Linked DNA regions of Sus scrofa. The protein of the gene in region 1 interacts with the protein of each later gene in a biochemical or structural test. Links are inferred from orthologs where the notes say so. Each region holds a gene or a part of one and is shown in the gene's direction. Other genes may lie near its edges.

Region 1 (4,784 bases):
CACACGAATTTAAACTCCAGGAGGAAAGGAATTTTTAACTATTTCGTTCATAGCTATTTCCCCAGCACCTAGAACAGTGTCTGGCCCATAGTTGACATTCAACAAATATTTGTGAATGAAAGAACAACTAGTTAAGTGAATTGGGTTAGAAAAAGATGACGGAAGATTAAGCAATCAGAAAAAATACTGTGTATGAATATGGACAAACACACATGATGTAATGTTAAAAGTAAGATCCCTGCCCTGTGATGGAAAAATACATTGATGCGGCCTTGACAACATTGTTGTTTTCTGGTTCTTGTTTTCCCTTCCTTTAAAGGATTCTGGATCCTCAAATTTGTCTTCCGCCCCCTGGTCCGCATTTTTATCTACCCTCTAGCTTCCAAATACCATATACTTTCTTTCTAGTTTATTTACCATGTTGTCCAAACAATCGTCTTGGGCCCTGAGCCCTTTCCGGACTTATCACCCTCGTTACTTTGGATGCACCGTTCTGAGAATCGTATCTGTTCATCAGTCTCCCCCAGAAAGATGGGAGAACTCTTACGGGACTGGGTGTCTAGAATATAGTAGGAAGGACTCAATAAATGTTTGAGCAAGAGCTGAGCACGGACTGTGGGCCCAGACCTCTAAGAACCTCACATCTGTCACGTCATTGAATTGTCACCTGTGAGAGGTAGAAGAGACACATCTTCATCCCTCAGATGAAGAAATAAGGAAATACGTTTATCATAAACAGTGACCAGAAAGTATGCAGAGGTTAAATGAGGTGTTAAAGTGATGGCATTGTAGGCGGTTTTTCTCTTTCAGAAATTCCTTCAATATGAACTGCAGTTAGGCTGTATATGAGTCTCGTGTGCGCGCGCGCGAGCGTCTGTGTGTGACCAAACCATTGTAAAACTTGCGTGGGCAAACAGCAACAGGAAATCGGTGGGCAGGGGCTGGGAGAAGGGGAGGAACACAGCAGCACCGACCAGCAGAGCTCCAGCTGCATCAGAGCCGCCCGCGCGGGCGGCGACCGCCCACAGACCGAGCCGCGCCGGCCCCGCCCACGGAAACGATCCTCTCGGGAGGCCTCCCCCCGCCCCATGCAAACGACCTGGAGGCCGTGGGCGGGGCCACCCTGGAAGGGCTCCGGCCGGGGGCGGGACCAGGCCGGCCGCGGGCTGGCTCCGATTGGCTCTCGGAGAGACGGGACGGGCTCTCCGAGGGCCGGCCTCCCAGAGGGGCGGTCCTGCGCCCCGGCCTCCGCGAGCGCGCAGGAGCCGAGCCCGGAGCTCGGCGTCTAGACGCGTAGGTCTGCGCCGCCGTCGGCCCGGAGGCAGAGCCGGAAGCGCTTGTTTGACCCTCGGTCCCCCTGTTTTCGAGGAGGTAGCCGTCCCCCCACCCTCTCCGCCTCCCCTCCCCACCCCTCCTCGGGAGGCCGAAGCCCCCAGCCTGGGCGGGGCGGCGCAGCCCGAGCGCGGACCCGGAAGGAGCGCCGTCCCCCGCCTCCGCCATGGAGCCCGCCGCGCCGTCCCTGACCGAGGAGGACCTGACCGAAGTGAAGAAGGACGTGAGTAGCACGGCCGGGCCCGGGCGGGCGGGCGGGGCGGGCTGCGTGCCTGCGGGCGACGGGAGCGGAAACCCGGCGGCCCGGCCCGGCCCGGCCCGCAGCTGGGGAGCAGCGCGCGGTGGGAGAAGCGGCAGGTCCGGGCGCCGCGGGAGCCGAGCCGGCATCGCGGGGACCTGGTGGAAGCGGTCCGACCCCTGGTGACCTGTGAACTCGCGTGTTAAATCAATCAAAGCGGGGCTTGGGTTTCTGGAACCTTGTTGGGTGGAGCGCTCCTTCACAGCCTCCGGCCCACTCCCCACCCATCCTCTGGCGCTTCCAGGGGTGGAGCTACGTTGTCGGAAGTCGGCGACTCAAGCTCGTCCTTGAGTCTGAGCCTTGGCTGCTGGCTCTCTCAGCCTGGAGCAAAAGCTGGACCAGGTAAAGCATCCCAAGCAGTGGAGCAAATATGTGAAACTTTGGCAGCGGGGGTTGAGGGAAGCTCAGCAGCTGAAAGCACGAGTCGGAATTCCCCTAGAAAGCAAACGCCCACGTATTTAAATCGGAGGGGCGAGGGGGAGGGGACGGGGGCCGGGGCCCGAAGGCCGAGAATTTATTTACAGGTGAACGCTGGAAACATTCGGTAGCTGCGTTATGCTCCGCTGCTTGGATGCTGCAGAAATGTACAAATCTTAATATTTATTCACCAAGAGTGACTTGTTTCTCTTACCCTTTGCTCTTAGTTGTTTGTTTTGCTTTGTGAGACTTGTATGAGTACCATTAAAATACTTTGTATTAATTCACATTTTAAAAATCAACATGAACTGTGTTCTCGCTTAGCGCCGCAGTGCTGTACAAAACCACCTTTGTGAAGTGGACAGGAAGCAGCTTTTTAAATGTTCCTGTGCTTCCTTTTCCCTCACCTGTGAGGTTTATCACACTGTACCCATAATGCAGAGTCGGTGTGACTCATTAGCAGAAGGACTCTGGTTAAGAGTAGGGCTTGTGCCTTAATTTCCTCCTTCAGCAGATAATTCTGGGGCGCTCACTAGATGGAAAGCACTGTTCCTCGGCCTGGAAAGATACCCAAAAATGACAGGTCCCTGCTTCCCATTCCCGTCAGAACTCGGATGTTGGTAACTACTAAAGAATGAGTGTTGTGCTGTTCAGGATTTGTGCCAGTAAAAGCATGAACTTCAGGAGGCAGGTGCTGCATCGCACGGTTTACAGTGTTCTAGCGTCATCTGTACACCAGCCTCTGAGGGGGATCGCTGTCTTTTCCATTTTACAGTTGACAAAACAGGTAGTGAGAGGTTGCAAGTGGGAGGTTCCAAAACCCGCACACAAACACAGATGTGAAGGGTGACTGCCAGGCCTGTATTTTTTGCCGTCAGCTCATTGACATTCTCCATCTCCAAGATTTCAGTGCACAGCCAGCTCTGAAATTCATAACCTTGGGGAATCATGCACCGGTTTCAGGACAGCTGTGAAAAAAATAGAGCTGCTCATTTTTTTCTTAGAACATTTTTTCACGTGATGGAAATGGTTTATGACCTTAGAAGGTTTAAAATTATCATACATATATTTGGCCTGCCTTCTTTCCCAAATCTAAGTGCTTATTTCCAAATAGTTGCGGGAAATCCAGTTTGATATCCTTCAGATTCCTCACCTTGTCTAAGGTTGATCATTTTATCATCCCTCCCTCAAAGCTGCTTGTTGTTTCTGCTGTTTTCTCTCTTGAAGAATATACAATCATCCCTCTGTAACTATGGAGGACTGGCCGCTGATACTAAAATCCATGGATGGAGTTCCCGTCATGGCTCAGCGGTAACACACCTGACTAGTATCCATGAGGACGCAGGTTCCATCCCTTTCCTCACTCAGTGGATTAAGGATCCGGCGTTGCCGTGAGGTGTGGTGCAGGTTGCAGATGAGACTCGGATTTGGTGTTGCCGTGGTGTAGGCCAGGAGCTACAGTGCAGATTTGACCCTAGCCTGGGAACTTCCATACGCCTCAGGTGATACCCTAAAAAGGCAAAAAAAAAATCCCGTGGATGGGCAAGTCCCTGGTAAGCGCTGTCCAGTTAGTCCTCCCAGGGATCGTGCCGTGTATTTATTGGTGATGACCAGTGGGGAATCTGAAGCTAGAGAGGCTGAGGAGCTTGCCCAGCTCCCACAGGAGATCGTGGCAGATGCAGGATTTGCACTGAGGTGGGCCTGGGTCCAGAGCCGTGCTCTTAACTTCTCCACTATTCTGCCATGTGAGAAACTTTATCCTTTAAGTTGCGGTGGAACACAGTGTTTCACATTTTTTAAAAATTAACAGCATTTCAATCTTAGTAGAATTCATCTCACACTCCAGATTTCCATTTTTTTTTCTTGAGCAATGAGACGTCTGATGATGTGTGGGGAGGAATTTGAGGGCTGTGGGGAGAGAAGGAAGAGGTACAGCGAGGTGTCTTGTTAGCAGTCCAGGCAGAGTACAGGGGACCAGAACTAGGACGGTGCTAGGGCTCGGGAGGGAGAGGGGGCAGATGAGAGAAGTGTCGAGGGCGGACTGGTGGGACTTGGAGGAAGGGTGATCCAGTGTGGCAAGCGAGTGAAAGGGGAAAAGCCCAGGACGAGTTGTCGGGGTGTATCGCGCGTCTGGACGGATGGCGGCCCTCCCAGGGGAGCCGAGAGCGTCCGAGGAAAAGGATGGGGACGCAGATGCGGCTTGGGGCGTGTTGAGTTTGAAGTACTGCCGGCATCTCTAGGTGGAGAGAGTCTTGATCATAGGCATTTTCAGGAGTCATCCACGCACAGGGGTTGGAAATTGCAGCAGTTGAGCTTTTCCAAGGAGACGGTCTTTTTAAGTCTGTGTTTCTCATTTGTTATCCCCACAGCTTAAATTCTCGCACTCAGCACATCCTGGGTAAGAGAGTTCAGCAGTCTTCTCATGTCTCCTTTGACCCGTTTTTGTTTCTCCCAATCGTCTGTAAAAGTCTTCTTTTCGCCTCTTATTTATAAACCTTTGATGAGGTCCCCCCGCCACTGCATTCCTTTTATGCTTCTAGCTCAGGCTTAGCCTCGATCAATTTCCCAGGTCCTGGAGGCAGAGTCAGTTGCCTGCTCTCTGCATCCCCAGTACTTGACCTGTAACTTTTTTCCAAGTTGTATCTCATTGTCTCCTGATCATTAGCTTGAGTTGATCATGTATTCTTCAGCTAGACCATGTGTCCTTTGAATGCAGGATTCAAGTCTTGTGCGTCTT
Region 2 (4,177 bases), on another chromosome or scaffold:
CATGGCGTTCTTCCTTGCTCCAGGTCTGGACGAAGGTGAGATTCTCAGTCCACAGTGGATGAGTGCTGCCCCAGAGTTGGGGGTTTGGCTCCCTGGTGGGCAGTGACCTGGGGGATGGCAGGAGCAAGCGTCCAGCCAGGAATTCCAGATTTGCTGTCCAACCAACAGTCACTCAAGCACCTGCCCCCATTGTCACACAGATCAAAGCACAGCCAGGCTATTAGCCAGCCTTGAAGAGTTTATTGGGTATTAAAGTTTTCACAGACAGCGTGGATGGAAAATGAGTGGGCAGAGTTGGAGCCACGAAGGTTTTAGGTGCAAAGGTGATACTGTCCAAGAATCTTTGCTGTTAGAATTCCGGTAGTGGCTACACTGGTGAGACAGGGAAGCAGTGACCCGGAGGACCAGGGCCACCTCTGCCTCTGGCCCTGGGTGCTCATCCCACCAGCACATTCAGTTTGTGACAAGTCTTCTGAGCTACAAGCTTAGGAGCATGTGTACGTTTCGGTATTCTTGTTCTGTTTCAGTGCAAAGGTGTTTTTGTTTTTGTGGGTTTTTTTTTTTTTTTTTTGAAGTGGCACCTGCAGCAAAACAGGGATCATTTTCAGAAATGATGAGCTCATGGGCACCAGGGAGTCATGCTTGAGAACCCTTACACCCCCCCGGGGACAGCCAGCCCACCTCACCTCCCAAGCATTTTCCACCCCATCTAGTACCAAGAGCGCATCTGTAGGCAGAACAGAGTAGCAGGTGTTCTCTCGCTGTCTTTGCTTTTTATTAAGACTCGTTCATGCCAGCTGATTCACCCCAGGCTGGGGACTGGGGCTCTGGCAGTGCCCATCCCTGCGCGTGGCAGAGGGAGCGAGGGGTCTAAATGAGCAGGGCCATGTGTCTCAGAGGTTGGGGTCCATCTGGGGCACTCGGGGCTCTCGCATCCTGCACCGCGGGCCCCTCCCCAGGCACCCAGCCTGGCAGAGGTGGCATGGGCCCTGCTGACCTCTGTCCCCTGGGCTTGCAGAACAAGCACTGTCTGCTGGAGGCTGGGATCAGCTGCACCCGAGACCTGATCAAGTCCCGCATCTACCCCATCGTGCTCTTCATCCGCGTGTCAGAGAAGAACATTAAGAAGTTCAGGTAGGTCTCCAGGACCCCCAGGGCCTTAAAGTACCACCTCCACCCCCACCCCACCAAGCCTCTGTGGTCCCACCAAGAACAGCTGGCTGCTTGGGTTCCCCCCAGCCCCGCTCACCTCTTTAGTGAATCCTTATCAAGTGTCTGTCCCCAGTCCAGGGACATGGCCCTGACCTCCAGCAGCAGAGACAGTAACATACACGTAGGTGGAAGGTGTCCAGGAGGATGCGTGCCAGGAGAGCCAGGTGGGCGCCGCAGGACCCAGGTGGTCCAGGAAGCTGATGTTGGCACAGACCCACTACAGTGAGGCCAGGTCGGGCGGGTGCAGAGGGCACAGCAGGCGCCCAGACCCAGAGGTGGGACAGCTGGAGGAGGCCAGTGTGGGCAGAGCCATGAGAAGGGACTTTGTAGCCAAGTGGGGTCCAACCACGCCAGCCCATGTGGGCCATAGGACAGTGTGACATCTCCTGAGTGAGACAGAGCTACTGGTGGTTTTGAGGAATGACATAATCTAACGTGGGATGGCAAGGCCCACTGGCTGCTGTGCCAAGACGGGCATGGCGACAACCTGGACAAAGGACCATGATGCGGGACTGGGTCCCATCTGGTGAGCAATGAGGAAAGTCCGATCCTGGATCCATCAAGGTCAAGCCTGTGCGATTGGGGGAGGGGTCAGCTGTGGGATTTAATAGAAGGAGGAAATCAGGATGATGCCGAGGTGGGGGGCCTGCCTGTCACATGATTGGGGGCCTGCCTGTCACGTGGTGGCGTCTCTGGTCCCCACCTCTCCTCACACCAGCTGCAGCTGAGACTGAGGGTGGCCAGGCCACTCCATTCTTCCCCCAGGGTTTCCCATTAGGTGCCAGGCTTAGGGAACCATAAGTCAATGAGACCAGAGTCCCTACCTCATCGCCTCACATGCATCAGAATAGCTGCTGCACAAACACCAGAAACTGACACAGGTGGGCCCAGACGGGGAGAAGTTGGAGCCCTTGCACACTGCAGTGGGGTGGGAGATATAAAAGGATGCAGCTGTATGGAGAACAGCATGGAGGCTCCTCAAAAATTAAACATAGAGGAGCTCCCGTTGTGGCTCAGCAGGTTAAGAACCTGACTGGTCTCCCAGAAAGTGTGGGCTCAGTTCCTGGCCTCCCTCAGTGGGTTAAGGATATCCAGCATTGCTGTGAGCTATGGTGTAGGTCGCGGATGTGGCTCGGATCTGGTATTGCTGTGGCTGTGGTGCAGGCCAGCAGCTGTAGCTCCAATTCAATCCCTAGCCTGGGAACCTCCATATGCTGTGCATGTGGCCCTTAAAAAAAAGAGAGAGAGAGAGAGATTTAAGAAAATTAAATTAAAAAGACAGTTTTAGGAGTTCGCTGGTGGCACAGTAGGTTAAGGATCTGGTGTTGTCATTGCTGTGGCTTGGGTTTGATTCCTGGCCTGGGAACATCCTATGGCATGGGTGTGGCCAAAACGGGGCCGGGGGGCGGGGACATGTCTCAATTTTTTTTGGGGGGGCAGAAAGTAATAGTTGGTTTTGATTTGTGGTTGCCCTGTTTTTCAAGTATGTTAACCCCTTTCTATATCTGCTTTTTAGCCTGATAGTCCTATATGGGCTCAAACACATTATTAAAAAAGAGTCTATGGAGTTCCCATTGTGGCTCAACAGAAACAAATCTGACTAGCATCCATGAGGAGGCAGGTTTGATCCCTGGCCTCGTTCTGTGGGTTAAGGATCTCGCATTGCCGTGAGCTGGGGTGTAGTTCGCAGACGCGGCTCGGATCTGACATGGCTGTGGCTGTGGTGTAGGCTGGTGGCTGCAACTCTGATTCGACCCCTAGCCTGGGAACCTCCATATGCCGCAGGTGCACCCTTAAAAAAAAAGTCTAGATTTCCTTACTTTCCTTCCCCACATTCGGGGATGTCGAAGTCCTTTTTTAACATCCTCCCTTTTGTCCTTTTGCTGTTCCTTATGTTTACTGTCACTTTTACAGTAGGGTTTTTTTGGTTTGTTTTTCCTTTTGGGTCTGTATACTGGCTTATATAAGGAATTCCTTCCCAAGAGTGATTTCCTCCATCCTGTTTCTTGTTACTTCTTTTTTATTTAGAGAAGCCCTTTCAGTATTTCTTTTAGAATGGGTTTAGTATTGCTGTACTCTTTTAGCTTTTGTTTGTTGGAAAAATTCTTTATTTCTCCTTCTATTTTCAATGATAGTCTTGCTGGATAGAGTATTCTAGGCTGCAGGTTTTTCCCTTTCAGAACTTTGAATATATCTTGCCACTCTCTTCTGGCCTGTAGTGTTTCTGTAGAGAAATCAGCTGACAGCCTTAGGGGGGGTTCCCTTACAATTAACACTTTGTTTTTCTCTTGCTGCCTTTAGAATCAATCCTCTCTTTAACTTTTGTCACTTTTATTATAATATGTCTTGGTGTGGGCCTTTTTGGGTTCAACTTGTTTGGGGCCCTCTGTGCTTCCCGTATCTTGATATCTGTTTCTTTTAGATTTGGAAACTTTTCAGCCATAATTTCTTCAAATATATTTTCAATCCCCTTTTCTTTTTCTTCTCCTCCTGGAATCCCTATTATGCCTAGATTGGCTTGCTTTGTATTAACCCATAGATCTCTTATATTGCTTTCATGTTTTTTCATTTGGTTTTCTGTCTGCTGTCCTGATTGAGTGATTTCTATTATGCTATCTTCCAAGTCACCAATTCGTTCCTCTGCATTATTCATTCTGCCCTTTAGTGCCTTTAGCTTGGTTTTCATCTCTGCAAATGAATTTTCTAATTTTTCTTGGTCCCTCCTTATATTTTCTAGCTCCTTTCTAAAGTACTGTTTATATCTGCTCTTAATTCCTTCATACTCACCCTTAATTCCTTCAGTATTTCCACTATCTCCCTTTTGAACTCAGTGCCTATTAGACTGCAGAGGTCTCTTTCATTGTCTGCTGCTTCAGGTAAATTCTCCTGTTCTTTTAACTGGGAATGGTTCCCAAGCTTCTTCGTTTTGCTTATATTTTTCTTTTCCTGTGAGTTTAGGGAAACG
Region 3 (3,537 bases), on another chromosome or scaffold:
GACGGCCTGCTGCGCAAGCACCAGGAGCGCGCGCAGAGGCTCAAGGAGGCCTGCGAGGCCGGCGGCCGCGAGCTCCAGCGCTGCAAGGACGAGAACTACGACCTGGCCCTGCGCCTGGCCCGTCAGAGCGAGGAGAGGGGCACCGCGCTCATGCGCAACCGAGACCTGCAGCTGGAGGTGCCTGGCGGCGGGGCGGCCGGGCGGGCGGCGGGCGGGCGGCGGGCCCCCGGGCTGGGCTGACGGGCGGCCCCGCAGATCGATCGGCTCAAGCACAGCCTCATGAAGGCCGAGGACGACTGCTCGGTGGAGCGCAAGCACACGCTGAAGCTCCGGCACGCCATGGAGCAGCGGCCCAGCCAGGAGCTGCTGTGGGAGCTGCAGCAGGAGAAGGCGCTGCTGCAGGCCCGGGTGCAGGGCCTGGAGGCCTCCGTGCAGGTGGGGCCAGCGGGGCGAGCACAGCGCAGCCGGGCGGGGGGCCTCCAGCCCCGCCGCCCCGCCACCCTCTCCCTTGGCGCCACAGGAGGGGCGGCCGGACCAGAGCAGCCCCTACATCCAGGTGCTGGAGGAGGACTGGCGGCAGGCGCAGCGGGACCTCCAGGAGCAGACCCGCACCGTGTTCTCCCTGCGCAAGGACCTGCGCCAGGCCGAGGCCCAGCGCGCCCGGGTACGCGGCCCGCGGTGGGGGAGGTGGGCTGGCCTCTCAGCGCTGCGTCCCTCCCGGCCCCTTCCTGCAGGCGAGGCCCGGCTGGCCGGCCGGCCCCGCCCCGAGCGCGTGCTCCCCAGGCTGGGTCCAGGGTCCGGGCCCCGGGCCGGGGTTGGCGGGGCTGCGGGCGGCGGGGTTAGCTGCCGTCTCGCCCCCGCAGTGCCTGGAGGAGAAGGAGGTGTTCGAGCTGCAGTGCCTGGCCCTTCGGAAGGACTCCAAGATGTACAAGGACCGCATCGAGGCCATCCTGCGGCAGATGGAGGAGGTCGCCGTCGAGCGGGACCAGGTAGCGGTCAGGGCAGAGCCCCTCCGGGGAGGCGGCGGTCAAACAGGCTTTACACAACGCAAGCAGGTCACGCTTTACACACGGTTCTCGCCGAAGAAGGAGAGACGTTCCCCGGTGGCGCGGCAGCAGGTTAAAGACCCAGCGTTGCCACTGCCATGGCTCAGGTGGATGCTGCGGCATGGGCTTGGTCCCTGGCCCGGGCACTGCCCGCAGCCGCGGCCAAAAATAAACTGAGAATGCTGAGGACGCTAATCCCCGCGCCACCTTCCGCTGTACTTGCCGTTTCTTCTTCGCTCTACAAGAATGGGAGTTTTCTGACTTGTTTTGCAAATGGTTTTTTAGCTTAAGAAGCCGTGGCGCCTGTGTGGGCTGCCCTCTTGTGTGCGGGAGCATGCCCGGCGCAGGGTGGCGTCTGCTCCCTGCCCCATCGCTCTCCTTTCTAATCGGTCACAGCCGATGTTCCAGTCGCTTTCTGGAGGGTGACTGTCACTTGGTGTCAGGAGCCTTAAAACGCAGATTCCTTTTAGCCCAGCAATCCGCTTCTAGAAGCCTCTCTCATGGGAACCACAGCCGTGCTGAAAGCCCGGTAGGTGGGTTCTTATCTCAAGGCCATGGACACAGTGAGATCGGGGGCGGCACCTGGAAATGGGCAGCTCAGCAGACAGGAGGTGCCCCCACCCACCGCAGGGAGTGCAGGGCTGTGGCTGGGCCCGGGAGGCCCTCGGCCTGGGGAGGCTGGGGCCTGGCCGCCCAGGTGAGTCAGGGTGGGGGGTCTGTTTGGTCCTAAGCTGGCAGCATGCACAGAAATGAAGGCAGTGCTCTGACTAATCAGGCCTTGGGAGTGCCCGTCGTGGCGCAGCAGTGGTGAATCCAGCTAGGATCCATGAGGACGCGGGTTCGATCCCTGCAGCGTAGCTGTGGCTGTGGCGAAGGCCGGCAGATGCAGCTCGGATTCATCCTCTGGCCTGGGAACCTCCGTATGCCGCAGGTGCGGCCGCAAAACAGATCAAGCCCTGGCCGTTTGGGGTCGCCTGACACAGGGGATGTGGTTGGGCTCCGTGAATTGCGGCTGGAGACGAGACTGGCTTGTCCTCGGGTGACCAGGGGCGTGGGGGTGCGATGAGAGAGGTGGTTAAATCCCACAGCCGTCAACCGTCGTGCTCCTGAGCTCAAGCCCCACCCAGGGTGTGTGACCCCCGCGTGTGGGGAGGCGAGCGTGTGCCGAGCGTGCCAGGGAGCGGTTGGCAGGGGCTAGTCCTGAGGGTCATTGTCTGTAGATTTTCTGAACATACACGCGTTCTGTCACGCGCCTGTATCACGTTTACGACCCCAAACACGAAGGACGTGCTTGAGGACAGAGGAAGAAGCCAGTGCCGGCCCCCCGCCCGCCCTCCTCGCGGGAACACGGCTAGAGATGGGGCGGCCTGTGCTGCGCTTGCGGGGTCCCCACCGCCTGCCCCGCCCTGCGCTGCCGCCCCACAGGCCATCGTGACGCGGGAGGAGCTGCACGCGCAGCAGGCCCGCAGCCTGCAGGAGAAGGACGTGCTGCGGAAGCAGGTCCGCGAGCTGAGCGAGAAGGTGGACGAGCTGCAGCTCCAGCTGTTCCAGCGCGAGGGCCAGCTGCTGGCTCTGGAGGACAGGCTCAGGCGGCAGCAGCTGGATACACCTGTCCTGGTGGGCCTCCCTGGGGTCGGGGGACCCTCGGTCAGAGCCACGCCTGTGCCTCCGTGGGGCCCGGGGCTGTGTCCACTCTGGGGCAGGTGTGTCCCTAGAGACCGCAGAGGCCCGAGGAGGAGCCGCCGGTCCCCAGCCCTTCCTGAGCCACCTCCCTCCTGCTGGTGGGCTCAGGGCCTGGCAGGCTGCTCTGGGTGCTGTGATGGGGACAGAGAGGGGCTCTGGCCAGGGGCCTCCCTGGAGGGTGGGCTGGTCTGGGACCCTTCTCCACGCCCACCCCCGCAAGCCTGCTGACTGACGCCTCTTCTGTGACCCCAGAGCTCTGACCTGGAGGACAGCTCTCCCCGGAGCTCCCAGGAGGTGAGTATGGCCCCGGGGGTCAGCCCAGGGCCGGCCTCGCGCGGGGCTCCGGGCCTCAACCTCCGCCAGCCACCCTCCCGGTGCTGGGCAGAGCAGCGCGGGCCCCTGAGAAGCTTGCACCGGGGCCGGGGGTGGGGCAGTGACGGGGAGGGGCACACAGAGGGCTCGGCCGTGCGGTGGGGGGTGCTGGTGTAACCGGGTGCCCATCTCTCCTGGGAAGCTCTCGCTCCCGCGGGACCTGGAGGAGGACGCCCAGCTCTCAGACAGAGGTGAGGCGGGGAGCCGTCTGGCGAGGAACCTGGCCAGAGCCTCTTGATCTGCTCAAGTTGGCGCCCACCCTGACCTTCATCACACAACCGAGGACGCGGCTGCCCCAGGACACGCGCCCCAGCCCTGTCCCGCTGGCCTTCACCGCCCCGCTTTACAGATGGGGACACCGAGAAGCAGGGGGATAAGCACCCCCCACGGTTCCCAGCAAGCAAACAAGAGCCCCATTTGAACCCAGGGTCCATGT
Region 4 (4,327 bases), on another chromosome or scaffold:
GCTCCGTGGCGCCTGGACTGCCCCGGGGTTGTGTCCCACTTCCTTCAGCGCAGATGTCACTGCCGGTGTCGTGTTTGTCCCTCACAGTAAGACGGTGGTTTGCAAGCAGAAGGCCCTGGAGCTGCTGCCCAGGGTGGAGGAGGTAGTGAGTCTCATGAACGAGGACGAGAAGACCGTGGTTCGGCTTCAGGAGAAGCGGCAGAAGGAGCTCTGGAACCTCCTGAAGATCGCTTGTGTGAGTCCCTGGTGGCCAGGCTGGTGCCCCCGTCCCCAGCCTGTGAGGGGGACCGTGGGTACCCCCCAGACTCAGCCACTGCAGCTCAGTTTCCACTTTTCTGCCCCAGGACTTGGCGGGAACAGGGCAGGGTAGGGTGAGGGTTATTGTTCATAGTGTGGCTGCTGTGACACTCACCATAGCCATTCTTAAGACTTGGAGGTTGGAAGTCCAAGGTTAAGGTGTGGGCAGGGCTGGGCTCCCTCAGGAGGCTACAGGGAAGAACCTTGTCTCTTCTTAGATTCCAGTGGCTCCCGGCATCCTTGGCTTGTGGCTGCACCTCTCCAGTCTTTGCCTCTGTTCTCCACTTGTCTCTCTCTCTGTGTCTCTTTCTCTCTTATCCTTTTGGCCCAGTCCATGGCATGTGGAAGTTCCCAGGCCGGGGATCGAACCTGAGCCACAGCAGTGACAATTCCAAATCCTTAACTGCTAAGCTACTAGGAACTGCACCTGTGTGTCTATTATAAGAACATATCACCAAAGTTCCCACTGTGGCTGAGTTAAGCATCCAACTGCAGCAGCTCAGGTTGCTGGGGAGGCAGGGGTTCTAGCCCTGGCCTGGCGCAGTGGGTTAAAGGATCCAACGTTGCTGCAGCTCAGATTCAAACCCTGGTCTAGGAACATCCATGTGCCTTGGGTGTAGCCATTAAAAAAAAAAAAAAAAAGAACCACTTGTCACTGGATTTAGGCCACTAGATAGTCCAGGGTGATCTCATCCTAGGATCTTTAACCTCATCTGCAAACATCCCTTTTCCAAATGAGGTCACATGCTCAGGTTCCTGGAGATCCGCATGCAGCCCCCACAGTGCATGTCAAGGGTCCCCTTCCTGTCCATGCCATACAGCACTGCAGCCCGTACTTCCTGGGCCCATGGCCTTAACATAGCTGTGATCCCACTGAATGTTGCTCTGAGAGCCCAGGACAGGGAAGGGGGAAGAGCCGGGAAGACCCATGTTTCTGGACCAGAGCTGGAGGGACGAACCCACGGTGCAGGCACCAGCTGTGGGGGTGCTGAGGAAGTTGACAGTGGAGTGACTTAGTCATCAGTCGGGGAGTGTGGCTGCTGAAGGCGGAAGCAGGACACAAGGACAGGGCTTTTGAGGATCATGGTGACGGAGCATATCTGCAGGCCAGGCAAAAGGAGACGGCGTCCTGGGGGTGTGTGTGTGGCGGGGGGGTGTTCCCAGCGTCACAGAGATGGGAGCAAGTCCCCAGTCTGAGGACAGTGGGAGGTCAGCGTCAGGAGCAGGAGCAGAAGGGGGGTGGGTGACATCTCCTGTAACGAGGAGAGACAGCCAAGAAGAGAGGTGAGGAGGCAGAGGTGAAGAGGCCAGGTCGAGGTGCTGAGGTGCTGACCTGATCCGCCAGCTGCGTCCACTAGACACTTATTGAGCACTGACGCCATGCCCGGCAGGGTGCTGAGAGCTGGAGATGCAGGAGGGAAAAGGCGTGGTGTTCAGCCCAGGGAGCTCACAGTCTGGTGAGGGGCATGCCGGGAATGAACGAGAACAGTCTGGAGCAGGCATGGTAAGCAGGAACCATGGCGTGAAGGCCAGGGGGTCAAGGGAGCGCCAGGACAGGTCGCCTGGAGAGGAAGCCAAGGGAGGCAGGTGAACGGCCAGGTGGGGATGCAACGTTAGAGGCCTGGAGGTGAGAGTGGCATGTCGGGTGGGGGTGGGGGGGTCTCACTGGGGATGAAATTAGAGAGGTCAGGAGAGCTGGCTTTGCGGCCACACTTTATTTTGAAGGCACAGGGGAAACATAGCAGGACTTAATTTCTCTTTTTGTTTGGAGGGAAGTTAAGAGTGGGAATATGTGATCCCCTTTGGTTTTTAGAGAAATTACTCTGAGAGTTCCCTTGTGGTGCAATGGGTTGAAGATCCAGCGTTGTCACTGCAGCAGCTTGGGTCACTCATCTGGCTTGGGTTCAATCCCTGGGGGCCAAGAACTTCCAGGAGGGGCAATGATAATAATCACAATAATAGAAAAATTACTCTGGTGGCAGCTGGAGGCTCTCCCTGAGAGAAGGGGCCTCTCCTGCCGTCCTCATGGAACATGATGGTCCTGGGAGGAGGGGGGTGACCTCCATCACAGTCTCAGACCCAGAGCAGGAGTTGGGGGGATGGACAGACAGCTGGGTCTCCACGGGAGATGATCAGTGAGGAAGACATGGCAGAAGGGCAAAGAGCGAGGTGAAACTGGGTGTTTGAATGGCTGGGTGAACTTGGCCCTGGATGTTCGGTTGGCTCAGAGCATGTGGAGCTGGATAGGTCCCCAGAATAAGAGCCTGAGGGGGAGGGAGGAACGATGGGCCAGTGGGAAGCTCCTGGGGCCAACAGAGGAAGTTTGCTGGAGCTTGGAGAGGGACCGGGGTGAGGCGGCAGAAGGTGCTGAGAAGGTTGCAGAGGTCACAGGTCATGTCGGGACTGCAGGTGTGAGAGGTGTAGGAGCTGTTGGTGGAAGGCCTTGGCTCTGAGATGGAGCTGCCACAGCCTGGGCGCCTGGCTTTCCTCCTATCCCATGGATGAGGCGAGTTACAGAAAGTCGCTTGGGATCTTTATGTGTCTGTCTTCTACGTGGAAAGAGTAAACACACCTTCTTTCTAGCTTCCTTGTAAGAGTTTATCAAGCAATCAAACTGATGAAAAACAGGGCCTGCAAATACAAGCCCTCAACAGGGAGACCCTTTTATCCAGAAGTGCACATGTGGGTCCAGAAACATTTGCTGGACTGAAACGCAAGCCCTCAGATAGTGATGGTGACCCGTCTCCTCCAGGAAGGGCCTGTGTCTTGAGGCCAGTCATCGTGAGAAAATACCCTGGCATGGATGCAAGATTTGAGTCATCCCCTTGTTCCGAAACCGTGCAGCTTCCTTTCTGGTTTTGTCCTCTAGAGCAAGGTCCGTGGTCCTGTCAGCGGAAGCCCGGACAGCATGAATGCCTCTCGCCTGAGTCACCCCAGCCAGCTGATGTCGCAGCCCTGCCCTGCCCCCGACAGTTTACCTGAGGCCATCAAGAAAAGGTAGGTCCCCAGAGTTCCTGTGGTTGGCTTAGTGGTAACTAACTTGACTAGTATCCATGAGGATGAGGGTTCGATCCCTGGCCTCACTCAGTGGGTTAAGGATCCGGCATTGCCGTGTGGGTCACAGATGTGGCTTGGATCTGGTTTCGCTGTGACTGTGGTATAGGCTGGCAGCTGTAGCTCCGCTTCAACCCTTAGCTTGGGAATTTACAAATGGCGTGGGTGGGAAAAAGAAAAAAGAAAAGGTAGGTCCCCCTTAGCCGTGGGATGAGCAGCAGGTATGGGTGTGTCCAGAGGTCGTGAGAATGGAAGTGCATGTTTCTCAGACAGGCCATGTCACCCATCAGCGACTCTGCTCCTTGGTGTTTTGTTCCATGTGTTGGGTGCTGTGGGGGCAGATGTGTTTTGCTCTCAGATCCCCTCTTGACTTGCTGGCTAAAGTTTTCCTGTCTTTGGAGTTCCCACTGTGATGCAGTGGACTCAGGATCTGACTGCAGTGGCTGGGGTTGCTGGTGTTCAGTCCCTGGCCTGGCACAGTGGGTTAGGGATCCAGTGTTCCTACAGCTGTGGTGTAAGATGCAGCGGTGGCTCAGATTCAGTTCCTGGCCCAGGAACTTCCATATGCCACGGGTGTGGCCATTTAAAAAATTCTCCCTGTCTGAAGGTTGGGTTGCTCATTGCTGAATGGGCGTATGGAAAGTGCTGGTCAGTCCCATGGTGTCCTCTGTTCCATCCATCATGGTCGGCTCTCTGGCCGTGCCCTGTGCCCCAAGGCATCGCACCTCCCCCTCCCACCCCATCTCCACTTTGAGTCACAAGTCACAGATCCCTCCCTGCCCTGCCCATTGCATGCACTCCTGCCAGAAGTGGGAGCAGCACCAAAGCCCATACGGTGAGGTTTTCCTCCCTGCTTCCTATCTCTTGTGCTGCCTCCAGGCCCTCTTTCATCAAATCAGTCTTCACAGAAGACTGTTTTGACCAAGTTATTCCTATTTGGTAACCGGTCAGGGTGTCCCACTGCCTCAGGGATCAA
Region 5 (4,020 bases), on another chromosome or scaffold:
ACATAGACGAGTTCCAGCGTCACTTACAAAAAAGGTGGCATCGGACCCAGAGCTCTCAGTGCACCTGATGTGTTTAATGTTTGATTGGAAAAGCATGGGCACGTGATGGGCACCACTGCTTTTGAAAGTGCGCTGCCTGGGAGAGGCCGGCGCCCTCACCTCCCTCTGCGTCTCCTCTGCCGCCAGATGCCATCCGGCAGAGCAACCAGATGCTGCGGGAGCGCTGTGAGGAGCTGCAGCGTTTCCAGGGCAGCCAGCGGGAGGAGAAGGAGTTTCTCATGCAGAAGTTCTGCGAGGCCAGGCGCCTGGTCGAGAGGCTGAGCCTCGAGAAGCTGGAGCTGCGCAGGCAGAGGGAGCAGGCCCTGCAGGAGGTGGAGCTCCTGAAGACCTGCCAGCAGGTAGCGGGGCGCCGGCCGCCTGCCCTCTCCCCCGGGGGTCCCCAGGAGCACCCTCGGGCGGCCGCACAGAGTCGAGAGAAGCCGTTATCCTCGGGGCTCTGACCAGGGCGGGCGGGGGTGGTGGCAGTGGGCGCCTTAGCCAGCAGGGCCTGCGGACGGGCGTCAGGGCGATCGGCAGGCCGTTGGCTGGCTCAGTGGGGGTTCAGGGTTTGGAAGCCGTTGGCCTGTCCAGGGCAGTGGAAACCTTGAGACCGACCCGATCATCCTCAGGTGCACGCAGATGGGCGTGAAAAGGAGGGGGATGAGTGGCGGGCGGGGTGGGTGGCGCTGCGTGTAGGGGTGGGGGCCTGAGGCTTGACCCTGGGCCTGAGCAGCCTGAGGTCTCGGGCCCAGGGTTTGCACAGCCTTGGGAGGGCGTCTGGGCGGTGGGGAGTTGGAGAACTCTTGAGTTTTGGGGCAGGTGCAGGACTTGTGGGAACAGCGTCACTCCCTCTTACCTGCTAGTGGCCTGGGGCCCGGGGAGCGCGCAGGTTTCTGTCACATGTTTGAGTCTCAGCAAGGTGGGGAGACTCCTGCTGGGCTCAGCCCGCATGGGCAGCTCTGTGCTCCTCTGGCCCCATCCTCAGTGGCCTTGCTGGGGGAGAAGCTTCGAGAGATGAGAGGGAGATGAGTCGGGGTGCCGGGGGCAGGAGAGGAGCCCCGGGGGTGGCCGGTCTCAGTGCTGACGTGGCGTGGCTTCTTCTCGTGCAGCAGATGGCAGAGGACAAGGCCTCAGTGAAAGCCCAGGTGACGTCCTTGCTGGGGGAGCTGCAGGAGAGCCAGAGTCGCTTGGAGGCCGCCACCAAGGAGCGGCAGGCTCTGGAGAGCAGGTGAGCGTGGAGGGAGAGCCCTGCCCGAGGCCGCTGACTTTTTGCCAGAGTTTTGGATGATTCCCGAGGGGCCGTTTGCGGGGTGGGGGGGACGAGTCCACGTGATCACAGTGCCCTCCCGGCCCAGGACCCCCGAGGACGGAAGGCCCAGGGCGGGGGCGGAGCACCCCCTGCCTCTGGCCCCCTCCTCCTTTCCTCCCTTCTCTGGCGGCGACTTGGGCCTCCCTGGAGGCCTGGGGCGCCACTGGAGACTCAGCGCCCTGAGTTTGATGGAGGGCTGGTCATGGCCCAGCACACGCCAAGCCTCCTGACTCCTGGAGGAAAGCAGGTGCTCCCCATAGGCCACCGTGTTGTGCCCACGGTCTAGGCATGGGGACCTCCCTCATCTGGAGGGCGAGTGTCCTGGCAGCGTAGGGGACTCACACCAGCCCTGCTGGCCCCTCTCTTCTGCAGAGGCTGCTTCCTGTAGCTGTGCTCACCGGGTCAAAGGGCACGGGCGTCTCTGTGGTTCTCACGCTGCCCGGTGGCTGCCGTCCAGGGAGACGGGTCCAGGCGGCAGGGCTGGCCGCAGCTCTCCCGGTGCGCTGGGCGCTGCGCCCGGAGGCCCGAGGCGTTTCCCAGCGCGGCGTTTAGACGCCCCGCCATCCTCAGAGCGAGCGGGGAGCCTCCCTCTAGAAAGCAGGCGGCGAGGGCGTGTGTGTGGCAGGGCCGAGCCCGCTGGCCTGGTCGCCTTCCCGGTTCCCCGCCGGGCTCGTCTCTACCCCCACTTCTCTAAGAGGCACGTGTGTCATTTCTAGGACACTGCCACGTGTTTCTTGCCTTTTTTCTGTGCACATAAAAGAGACTGCTGGAGGCGTGACGCTGTCTGCAGTTTTGTGGCTGACTCTGCTCAGTTAATGACCCCGCAGTTGCAGGCTCTGGGCATCTTCCTCTCTTGTCCCCCCACGTGGCTGAGATGGAAATGCTGGCTGGCAGCTCAGGGCAGGGAGCCTGCTTGCGTCTCCCATCGCTCGGTGTGGCCATTTAAACAGATCCAGACTTCGTACATGTGGCGGCCCTTTGAGCGCCAGGCCTGTCACATCAGAACGGCTGTCCTCCTTGTTCTCGGGCCCCTGGCAGACAGCACTTCCGTCTGGCGATGACAATGCCGGCAGCTAAGTTTTGTCGGGTCACAGATGGACATCTGAGTTGGATATAGCTGGCCAGGTGTGGAGATGAGACCAGAGGAGAGGGCCAGGAGCCGCCCCCCACTCAGAACAGCCACTGTCGCCCCCGGGACACAGGATGACGTGGCTGCAGCCTGGAGCTGGGGATGGAGGGAGCTGTGAGCAGACATGAGTGTGGAGATGCGAGGCGGGGCCGTGGGGTGACGGGCCCCCATCAGAGGGTCAGGCCCCTTGGGGGACCCGGGTGAGGAGAGCCGAGCTGTCACAGCTTGAGTGTGGATGGATCCAGGATCTTCTCCCGGGCAGGCAGGTGGGAGGATCTCGCAGATGTAGACGTTTGGGACTCCAGATGGGCCAGCCAGCCACCTCCTTGCCACTGTTAGAGCGGTGGTGGCGGGCGGGGTGGGGGAGCCGTGGAGCCACTGACCCCACTTTCCACCCCCCACCCCCGCCTCACCTCACTTCTCACCTGCGCCCGCCCCACCTTCTAGAAAGGCTGTCTTTGCTGACTGGCTCTACTTCCTTTCCTCCACTGAGATTGCTCTGGCCATGGCCCCCAGCACCCACCTCTCGGAACCCCACGGGCAGGTCCCTGGGGCTTCTTTCCCCTGGGACCCCCTCCTTCACCCCTGGCCCCAGTGCCTTCTGCTGCAGTCTTTCTTGGTGCTGCAGGGTTCCTCGAGCACTTTTGCTCCTGCTGGGGCCCTCCGGTGACCTCCCCTTCCTGCCACCAGGGTTCGCGCCACTAGCGAGCAGGTCCGGCAGCTGGAGAACGAGCGGGAGGCCCTGCAGCAGCAGCACAGCGTGCAGGTGGACCAGCTGCGCCTGCAGAGCCAGAGCATGGAGGCCGCCCTGCGCATGGAGCGCCAGGCCGCCTCGGAGGAGAAGTGAGTGCCGGCTGCGGCGGCCTTTGCCTGCCCGCGTTCAGATCTACCCTCTGGCCCACGTGTTCAAAGCCTCGGGGCCGGGGTCCTGTGTGCCACTTGCATGCCCTTTGAGTCTTCTTTAGTCTAGACCGTCCTTATGCTTTTCCCGATTTTTAATGGAGTTGACTTTTAAAATATATTTTTTATGTTTTTTTTTTGGTCATGTCTATGGCATGCGGAAGTTCCCGGGCTAGGGATCGAACCCAAGCCACAGCAGTGACCTGAGCTGTGACAGTGCCAGTGCCAGATTGTCTTAACCCACTAGGCCATCATGGACGTCTAAAGCTGACTTTTTTTTTTTTTTTTTTTTGTCTTTTTGCCATTTCTTGGACCGCTTCCGCAGCATATGGAGGTTCCCAGGCTAGGGGTCGAATCGGAGCTGTAGCTGCCGGCCTGCACCACAGCCACAGCAACGCGGGATCCGAGCTGCATCTCGACCCACACCACAGCTCACGGCAGTGCCGGATCCTTTAACCCATTGAACAAGGCCAGGGATCGAACCCGCAGCCTCGTGGTTCCTAGTTGGATTCGTTAACCACTGAGCCACGACAGGAACTCCAGGAACTCCTATTTTTAATTTTTATTAAAAAATGTTTCTGGTGGCTCAGTGGGTTAAGGATCCAGTGTTATCACTGCTGTGGCTCAGGTTGCTGCTGTGGTG

What was found.
Region 2: the proteins of BCL10 (region 1) and CARD11 form a complex in vitro, tested with the Homo sapiens proteins (2 studies listed by BioGRID, with this or other methods). The link is inferred for Sus scrofa from reciprocal best matches to the Homo sapiens genes BCL10 and CARD11.
Region 3: the proteins of BCL10 (region 1) and CARD9 form a complex in vitro, tested with the Homo sapiens proteins (2 studies listed by BioGRID). The link is inferred for Sus scrofa from reciprocal best matches to the Homo sapiens genes BCL10 and CARD9.
Region 4: the proteins of BCL10 (region 1) and IKBKB form a complex in vitro, tested with the Homo sapiens proteins (2 studies listed by BioGRID, with this or other methods). The link is inferred for Sus scrofa from reciprocal best matches to the Homo sapiens genes BCL10 and IKBKB.
Region 5: the proteins of BCL10 (region 1) and IKBKG form a complex in vitro, tested with the Homo sapiens proteins (3 studies listed by BioGRID). The link is inferred for Sus scrofa from reciprocal best matches to the Homo sapiens genes BCL10 and IKBKG.

The regions. Positions count from the first base shown.
Region 1 is NC_010446.5:130,643,944-130,648,727, forward strand, and holds the start of BCL10 (B-cell lymphoma/leukemia 10), read left to right. Parts: upstream 1-1,483; 5' UTR 1,484-1,498; coding exon 1,499-1,555; intron 1,556-4,784. UniProt on the Homo sapiens protein: Plays a key role in both adaptive and innate immune signaling by bridging CARD domain-containing proteins to immune activation.
Region 2 is NC_010445.4:2,147,770-2,151,946, reverse strand, and holds part of CARD11 (caspase recruitment domain-containing protein 11), read left to right. Parts: intron 1-1,018; coding exon 1,019-1,134; intron 1,135-4,177. UniProt on the Homo sapiens protein: Adapter protein that plays a key role in adaptive immune response by transducing the activation of NF-kappa-B downstream of T-cell receptor (TCR) and B-cell receptor (BCR) engagement.
Region 3 is NW_018084833.1:1,345,941-1,349,477, forward strand, and holds part of CARD9 (caspase recruitment domain-containing protein 9), read left to right. Parts: coding exon 1-177; intron 178-255; coding exon 256-435; intron 436-520; coding exon 521-664; intron 665-863; coding exon 864-989; intron 990-2,471; coding exon 2,472-2,663; intron 2,664-2,981; coding exon 2,982-3,023; intron 3,024-3,243; coding exon 3,244-3,292; exon of another isoform or gene 3,293-3,537. UniProt on the Homo sapiens protein: Adapter protein that plays a key role in innate immune response against fungi by forming signaling complexes downstream of C-type lectin receptors.
Region 4 is NC_010459.5:11,338,397-11,342,723, forward strand, and holds part of IKBKB (inhibitor of nuclear factor kappa-B kinase subunit beta), read left to right. Parts: intron 1-87; coding exon 88-235; intron 236-3,166; coding exon 3,167-3,294; intron 3,295-4,327.
Region 5 is NC_010461.5:125,047,331-125,051,350, forward strand, and holds part of IKBKG (NF-kappa-B essential modulator), read left to right. Parts: intron 1-186; coding exon 187-398; intron 399-1,148; coding exon 1,149-1,267; intron 1,268-3,167; coding exon 3,168-3,320; intron 3,321-4,020. UniProt on the Homo sapiens protein: Regulatory subunit of the IKK core complex which phosphorylates inhibitors of NF-kappa-B thus leading to the dissociation of the inhibitor/NF-kappa-B complex and ultimately the degradation of the inhibitor.